2 separate regions of the Mus musculus genome follow, and region 2 is reported to be linked to region 1. Evidence: microRNA targets listed by miRTarBase, many of them from high-throughput screens and not tested one by one. Region 1 holds a microRNA gene; the other region holds the end of a gene's coding sequence.

Evidence for each region. Region 1 holds the annotated microRNA mmu-miR-211-5p (UUCCCUUUGUCAUCCUUUGCCU, at 1,458-1,479, shown strand). A microRNA usually pairs through its seed, bases 2 to 8, with sites in the 3' UTR of a target mRNA and lowers its output. Matches are read on the target gene's strand: a 7mer-m8 pairs with bases 2 to 8, a 7mer-A1 pairs with bases 2 to 7 and ends in A, and an 8mer does both.
Region 2: the mRNA of Ubp1 is a reported target of mmu-miR-211-5p. Seed matches in the 3' UTR shown: 7mer-m8 at 1,309-1,315.

What each region holds. Positions count from the first base shown.
Region 1 is chr7:64,204,374-64,208,898 of GRCm38, forward strand. Mir211 (microRNA 211) reads left to right here and starts at 1,433; the gene lies at 1,433-1,538. It overlaps Trpm1 (transient receptor potential cation channel, subfamily M, member 1), which reads left to right. Exons shown (of 27, transcript NM_001039104.2): 6 at 49-220; 7 at 3,903-4,077; 8 at 4,496-4,525.
Region 2 is chr9:113,974,974-113,978,973 of GRCm38, forward strand. It overlaps Ubp1 (upstream binding protein 1), which reads left to right. Exons shown (of 16, transcript NM_001372510.1): 16 at 373-3,054. The coding sequence ends at 410. Fbxl2 (F-box and leucine-rich repeat protein 2) reads right to left here. Exons shown (of 15, transcript NM_178624.6): 15 at 1,985-3,967. The coding sequence ends at 3,860. Among named protein-coding and RNA genes, the nearest start is that of Ubp1, 46 kb to the left of the region's middle.

The DNA of each region.
Region 1 (4,525 bases):
TTAATATCTAAATTCTGCAGCTTTGATTCACATCATGCTTTCTGTCAGGTAACAAGAGTCTATCAGACCATGTCCAACCCTCTGAGCAAGCTCTCTGTGCTCAACAATTCCCACACTCACTTCATCTTGGCTGACAACGGCACCCTGGGCAAGTATGGTGCTGAGGTGAAGCTTCGAAGACAGCTGGAAAAACACATCTCCCTGCAGAAGATCAACACAAGTAAGTCCTGGGAGGCCATGGGCACCAGCTCGGGACTGACTCTACCAGGGTGGAAACCAGCTGAGAAGGAAATTACCAGAGGGTGCTGATTCTTGCTAGGTCCATGGACTATGCTCAAACTCTTTGCCCTAGCCACCTACCAAATCACCCTCCCAGAGCAGTCATGGGATGTTTTGCCCAGGTTCACAATTTGGTCTGAGACTTACCCTTGCACTATTTGTCATGGTTGTCATGGTGATGGCACTGCCCACCATGTTGCCCTCGGTCTTGTTCAGTGTACTTACTGCTATTATTTTCCTTCATGTTTTATCAGGAAAAAAAAACCTAAAAACTTGTTCCCAAAGATTTGGTATAATTCAGATTGTGACCCAATGAGTGTTGTAGGATCATTACATATCTCTATAGCTCTCAGTCTCCCACATGGACTAAGATGGTGAGATAAGGAAATCCTTGGACTTGGCTACAGGGACATCTGTTCCTGATGGTCACCATACTTGGTGGTCCAGATGGCACAGCTCACTGCTGGGGGGAAATGTGAGGATAAATTAGAGAGAAAGGACTGGCTCCCAACCAGATGAGAGGACCCATAACCTTCTGGGAAATGCCCACATGCAAAACTTCTGCCAGACAATTATGAAATGATCTCACAGAATATTTCATTCTTATCATCACCAGGAATATCTTTGTGCACCACAATCTAGAACTAGGAAAATGTCAGAATGTAAGGAAGTGTGGTATCACTCAAGTGGTTAGAACTGGGGTGCCTACTCCTAAAGGCTATAGATTTCCAAGAATCAGCTTAAACTATTTCTATTAATTCTCTGAGAGTTTTATACAATTTAGTTTTATACAATTATTCTATTCCTCCCCTACTTGTGCCAGATCTACCCCCACCTCCCAAACAGCCCCTGAATTCATGTCCTCTTTTAAAGAAATGACTACTTGACTCCTACTGTTCTGACCATGCAATCACAGGTGTGGGGGCATCCACTAGAGTGTGGTCAACCTATCAGGGCCGCACACTTAAAAAAAAAAACTGACTCCCTTCCCACAGAAGGGAATTTGTCAACTCCTCCCCACCCTCATGCTGGAATACTGACCGGCTTGATCCTGTGCAGCCAGCCACACTGTGAGTTCATGAGTGCGGAGGTCCTAAGAATCAGATCTTGGTGGATAAATCAGTTTGATTTAGTGTTTTTGGACTTGTAAATTCTGCTTGGACCTGTGACCTGTGGGCTTCCCTTTGTCATCCTTTGCCTAGGCCTCTGAGTGAGGCAAGGACAGCAAAGGGGGGCTCAGTGGTCACCTCTACTGCAGAGAGTTCAGAAGCCTAGCCTGAGCCAAGAGCAAGTTCTTCTCTGCTTCTGGAAATGAAGTCGCCATGATCCTGACGATGTAAAAATCCCAAGCACGCTTGGATGGAAATCTCAGAGACAGACGATGCCACCCTGATCCATTTTCCACTATTTCTTTTCTCTCTCTCTCTCTCTCTCTCTCTCTCTCTCTCTCTCTCTCCCTCCCTCCCTCCCTCCCTCCCTCCCTCCCTCCCTCCCTCCCTCCCTCCCTCTCTCTCTCTCTCTCTCTCTCTCTCTCTCTCTCTTTCTTTCTTTCTTTCTTTCTTTCTTTCTTTCTTTTTTGAGACAGGGTTTCTTTGTATAGCCCTGTTTGTCTTGGAACTCACTCCGTAGACCAGGCTGGCCTCGAATTCAGAAATCTGCCTGACTCTACCTTCTAAGTGCTAGGATTAAGGGTGTGCGCCACCACCGCCCGGCTTCATTTTCCACTATTTCTTATTCATGGCTTAGCCCAGTGGGTCCCACCCTTCCTAATACTCTGACCCTTTAATACAGTCACTTGTGTTGTGGTGACCCCTCAAACCATAAAATTATTTTTGTTGCTACTTCATTACTGCAACATTGTTACTCTTATGAATCATAATGTAAATATCTGATATGCAGGATATTTGATACGTGACTCCCCTAAGGGGTAGAGACCCACAGGTTGAGAACTGCTGGCTTAGCCTATGCCATATCTTCACCATTTGCTGGCTGGAATAAACTCAACTGTAATTCTTCTAACAGGAGACAACAAAGTTATCCTGAATCCTTAAGTATCCACTGGGGAAAACAAAGTAGAAAAAGAGAGACTCTGAATTCACTCATTGATAGTCTCAAGGCTTCTTATAGCCCGTGCTGGCAGATTTTATCGGAAGCTCTTGAGAACCATAACATCAAGGACATTTCCTTCCTCTTGTCTCTTGTAATGTTGCTCACAACTACAGAAACCAAGCAAAACCTGATCAGCAGTCAGTGAGCCTGGGTGTTGCCAAGGTCCAAAGCCCAAAACTTCACTGGTCACAGACAGAAAAACATTCAGGAGAGAAATTCTGTCTTTAATTAATGTGTATGGAGTTTTTTCCCAGTTGCTATCCCTCAGAAACACAATATAATAACTACTTTCATGTCATTGCATCATGCCAGGCGTTATGAGTCCCCTGGAGATGGCTTGAGGCACACAGGAGAAGATACATGCAGCTGCTACATCATTTTATATAAGAGTCCTGAGCATCTTGAATTTGGTGTCCAGGGGGATGTTATAAGGTTCTGGAGCCAATCCCTAGTAGATGCCTAGGAACAACTCTATAATATGTTCTGGCCAGGCAGAGATGACATTTTGAAGTAGGCAAGTTTGTCACGAAGCCTCCTCTCCAGCACTTTCCCCCCAGTATTATCTCAGCTTCCAGAATTCTCCCATCACTTCCTGCTGGATCTATCACCAAAAATTTGTCTATTCCTACTGTGCCCTTGAAGAATTATATTATTTATTTATTTTAAATCAGAGTAGACTCTGGAAATAAGCCATTGGCAATGGGCTAATAGTACTCCACGCTTTTACCCCTAAGGTAATATCCTGGGGCCAGAAGTGTTTTAGTCTTGGATTTATAAATTTTGGACATATTTGCATACCCTTTACCAATGATCATCTCCAATCCAAATATTTGGTCTTGGAAGATGTCTTGGGGACGGGTGATGCTCAACCTTTTCTCCCGTATTCGAGGCTCTGGAGGCAGCAACAAGAGCAGACTACCACACGAGTGCCTCTTTGACTTCCCAAACACTACGTAAAAGCCAAATCTATTCTTATATTTCAGGTCTGTTGCTCTTCTTGAGATAAGTGAGGTCCTGATCCTTTTACAACTGGTCACCTGAGAGATGGCGCTTTAATGAATGGTCCAGCAGTGCTTTACTGATAGAGGAGAGGCCCTAGATTGGGCTGAATTCCCCTCTGGCTCAGTCCAGCCCTCCTTATACTGGATCATTGTTGGAAGACAGCCCCTAGCATTTCACACCTAGGCAGGCAGAAAAGGAGCCTTCATAGCAATGCTTTTAAAACTGGCCGGGTGTCCCTGTGTTGGATTCTTTACCAGAGTTGGGTCACATGGGCGTGTCAGGGAGTTTAAGAGTTCTGAAATTTGGAGTTTACAGTGGGGGGCCATGATATGAAGTTCGAATGCAAGAATGAAGACAGTCACCCTTCGCTTGACTTAGTCGAAGCATTGGTCAACATTAGCACTACAAGGAAAGCCCTGTGGCAGGAAGTTTGTGCTTTTTGCTGTTTCGGCATTTAATGCAAGTTGGAGCTGTTCATGTTTGTGTGAGCAACAAGTGTGGTTGTGTTGCAGGGCTGGGCCAGGGTGTACCTGTCGTGGGCCTAGTGGTAGAAGGTGGTCCTAACGTGGTTTCTATCGTCCTGGAGTATCTCAAAGAAGACCCTCCTGTCCCTGTGGTGGTTTGCGATGGCAGTGGACGTGCCTCTGACATTTTGTCCTTCGCACACAAATACTGCGACGAAGGAGGGTAGGTTTGGTGTGTGACAAGGGTGAGCTCTTAATGGCTTTTTGTCAGACTGGGGAAAACATCTGACACCCCTCAGATATCCCCCAAAATGTCTAATTTACAAGGGGTTCTCTTGATCTTCTCTCCTGAGCTCCCGAGATCAGCATGAGAATGCCCAGGAGCTCCTGTTCCTGACTGAATCCTCTCTGCCGACATCTCTCTTACAACTTTATTTTACAGTATTAAGTCTTGCAAAGAGCTAAACGCAGGCCAATTTTTAATGCTGCTTTTAGACTGGGTTGGCTTTTTGTCTCCTGTACACAAATCTCATCCATTAGCAGTCCAAAATCAAAAGTACTGGGTGGGCGAAACTGTCTGGCTCACTTGGGAGCTGATCTAATTCCCTTGCTTCCTTCCCTCTCTTTACCCCTTTGAACAGAGTCATAAACGAGTCCCTGCGGGACCAGCT
Region 2 (4,000 bases), not on the chromosome of region 1:
CACTGAGTCTCAGGACTTCCTGAGGCCATTAGGTCTTGCTATATCTACCTCCGAGGGTTCAGTTTTCCAGCAAAGAGACCCATCTACAGCAGAACCTGCAGGCTGCCTGCACATTTTCTGCAGGGCTTTCTCAGCTCTGCCCTCACATGGTGCTTTGGCCTATTTTGCGTTAGCATACAAGTGCATCTGCTGCTGCTCTCTTAAGCCCTTGCCCTGTAGATAGAGCTGGCAAATGATGCAGGCTGGGCTCCCTGAGCAGAGTTACAGGGAATGTGTCTGAGGGAAGAGGAGCTAGAACAGTGCAGTCAGTTTTAATACTGTATCTCTTCTAAGCTTAGAAGTTTTAACACCCCCCTCTTTTTTTTTTTGCAGCTGAAAATAATGATGGTATTCACATAATTTTGAAGTGATACCTTAAACGGACTGAACTCTATCCAGTACCAAATAAAGTCATGCTTAAAAGTGTGTGAAGACTGAATCCAAGAAGTCTTGGGATTGGATTTTACTGTGAAATGTTTCATATTGAAAACACAAGATGACCTTCCTAAGGAGCTGCAGGAGAGGCAAATCTCCTCAGTGTCACTGCCACAGCCCCAGCATCCTCGTGAGAGAGAGAGAGAGAGAGAGAGAGCCTGTGCGAGCGAGCGAGCATGTCAGGTGACATTCGACCCAGCTTCTACCGTGGTGGGCACAAGTACTTGCTTCCCTGGCAAGGGCCAGTGGACAGAACCCCCCAGAGCAGTTGCTGCTGCTTTTCACACTGTATGCAGTTTGAATTGAATGTAAAACTCAACCGTGGGCATTTACCTTTCTGTGCCAGTTTGGCTTTTGTTGCCTGAACCTTATGCTGGCCTGGGGAGGAGATAGAGTTGCCTCTGGGGGAGCTGCTCTGTACTGGGTGACACGGCCGTATGGGTCAGGTAAGAGGCTTAGCTCCTTCCTGAAGGTGGACATCAGAGGGGTCCTGCTAGACCCGAGCCGAGCCGAGCCGAGCCGAGCAGATGAGCAGACTGCACTCCCTGTCAGCCATTCCGTGTGCGAGGTCAGTGTAAGTCCTAATAGGTACCGAGGCTTGGGCGTTTGGCTTGGGCTTCCAGTTTTAGCATTTTAGTTTCTGGATTTCACCTTTGAAACCTCCTTGCCTTTTAAACTCATGTGGTTTCCTTTTCTCGTCTCCCCACCCCCTACTTGAGCCTCCAGGTGTGTATACTCCCTTGTCTTGTGCCTACTCTGTTCTTAAACATGTCTAAAGCCCTTCCCAGACCTCAGAACTAGATGATGGGGAAACAGTATCATGTCTCTGATATTAAAGGGATTTTTTTTTTAATGAGACAAAATTACCCTGGAAACACTAGATGTCATAACAAGACACTAAAATGTATCATAAACCTTCCCCCCGCCCAAATACCGAGTTTCAGTACAATCATGGCTAGATGGTGGCTGGTGGGGGCTCTGTACTCTGCATCGTTCATGCTTTGTCTGTAGCAGGTGTGCCTGTGAGTCACGCGTGCACACGGCCATCACCTCTCCTCTCTCTCACGACCTCTCGTGAGGCCTGTGGCATATCCGAGTTTTTAAAAACTTCTTTCCATTTTAATTCTGTAGCATCTTTGCCCATTTGCTTAGCTGCTGGCTGTGAATGCGCTTGTCTGACCCTTGTTGTTCAGGTGGGTAGGAATAATTACATTTTAAATGAAATCTCTTCCAGAAGACAGACTACTTCAATGGGTAAAGGCTTTAACAGCTTGTTTTATTCATACTGGGGATTAATTACTTGCCACAAAACAAACTGTCTCGATAATTTTCCTCTTGGGTTTGGCAGTGCTGTAGCCTTGCAGGCCCTTTAGGAGGGAGCGCTCCCATCCGTCCTTCCCTTTGCTTTGTGTGACCACATGCTTTCTGTACCATTCACTTACTTGGGAAAGAAGTGGACTTATCTCCTAATTGTTTTAGAATTTTGCTTGTCTATTTAGCTTTCCTTTTTGGATCTCATGATTTATGGAACAATAAATGTCATTTAATGCTGTGTATTATTTTGAATTCATTATCAGGTTTTAGAAGTGGGGTGAAAGTACTTACAGGCTCCTCAGACTTGAACTTGTGCTGAGCAGCACAAAGTGCTAGGCCGTCTCAGTGAAACTATACCTGGCCCATGGCACCAGCAGTCTGCTACTTTGGTTATAGGATGTACAGTTCAGTGTAATAAATGTTTTCTGATTGTTTTGTAAACGTGTCACTCATTTCAAATCTAAGCTGCACTGTTGTCATCTGAAGTCACATGGACTCAAGGGTTGGCCTCGATGTGCATGGTGTAAGATGTTCATCCCAATTTCCACAGAGGTGATGCAACTCAAGACAAGTAGTTACAGTAAGTGCCTGCTGCATACTTAGAAGAGACAGATCAGGCTCGAAGTCATGGTCACTGAGCATCAAGTCCACCATCTGCAATGAGCCACATCATTCTAGCTCAGAAAAAATTCCATAGTTGTCTCGGGTATTTCATAGAAGTGAGTCTCACGAGTCACTGGAGCAGGTCTAGTGCTTACTTAGCAGCTCCTCCAGCAGCCATGCCCCACCCCCCACCCCCCACACAGCGCCACAGTTAAGTAGCTGTTGTGGTAGTCGTACCCTTCGTATCACAGTACTCCTTACAAGGAGCCGTTCGCCTGATGAGTCTCTGGAATGTGTGTGTATCTGCTTTCCCTCCCAGAGTGCATCGGAGACACTGCATCTATGCAGATGCTTCAGTGCTGTCCACCGAGGCAGAAAAAGCTCTTTCTTGCAGTTGTGGTTGGGGTGGTTGCTGGAAGGTTCAGCTACCATTATTAATATTGAAGGTGGGAGGTCTCAGTGGCACAGAGCAGCAGCACCGTAATAGTAAAAGACAGCATCCTGGGACAGGGACAGGAGTGCCTGCATTTGCAAAAATCTGACTCCAGTGAGCAAGGTGAGGTGTTGTGAGTCTGAAGCTGCAAATACGTCATTCATTTGACAAGCTTTAAAACAGTTATGATTTCTAAAAATTCAGAGTAAATAAAAACCACATCCATTCTACATGCATCTGTTTGTTATTTTTACTTGATTATAGATAACTTGAGCCTTAATTCTGGATTTGCTTAAGGTTCCCGCAAATTTTTTGAGAAGTGTGGATGGACATAATTGGCTTTTTCCTTTTAACAGAAATGCACTGTGTGCTGTGGCATCTGGCAGAGCTTGTAATTCCCAGCGGATCAATGCAAAGGGGGTGGTTTTGGTCCCTAGAGTTGGGTATGACGAGTTGACACAAACAGAAAGGTGAAGATCCTGCCCCACCCAGCTTAGAGGCCTTGTTTCTTTGGTGTCTTATGGAAGTATGTTAACATGCCTTTCACACACACTTCTACATATGAAACTACCAGCCATTCTGAGTTTGCAGTACAATCACGTTCATAAAGGTGCTATTTAGTCTTTAAAGTGGACAAGTCCTGCAGATGGACAGAAATTGCTGTGAATTACATTAGGCCACTGGCTTAAGGATCAGGTAGAAACCAGCAGGCTCTTTTACTCTGCTCAGGTTGTGCTAACACTGAAGGTGTATATATAGAATGCTGACAAAGCCAGGTGGGACTTGTATACATAGGTACCCACCTCTGATGGGCTCTAGGTTGCACCACACCACTCTTGCTGTGGATGACACAGACCTGGATTTGCTTGCATCCTAGCAGTGTTAAGGTGAATAGCATTACCAGGTACTGTAATCTGTGCTGAAGTCTTTTACCTGTAATGTTTTCACCATGGAGAGTCGAGATAGGGTGACGATGGAACAGCCAGGAGACTGGTCTAACCTGGAGGATGGGGCCCGTGGCCTAAGCAGCTGCTGTCAGAGTATGACACAGCATCTGCACAGTCGATGTCCACTTCCTGCCACTGCTGGTGGAGGGGTGACTGGAGCAAAGTAGGCATGGACTTTGACATGAGGAAGCTGAGCCTAGAAGGAAATGGAAAAGGAGTCGTCTGCCCT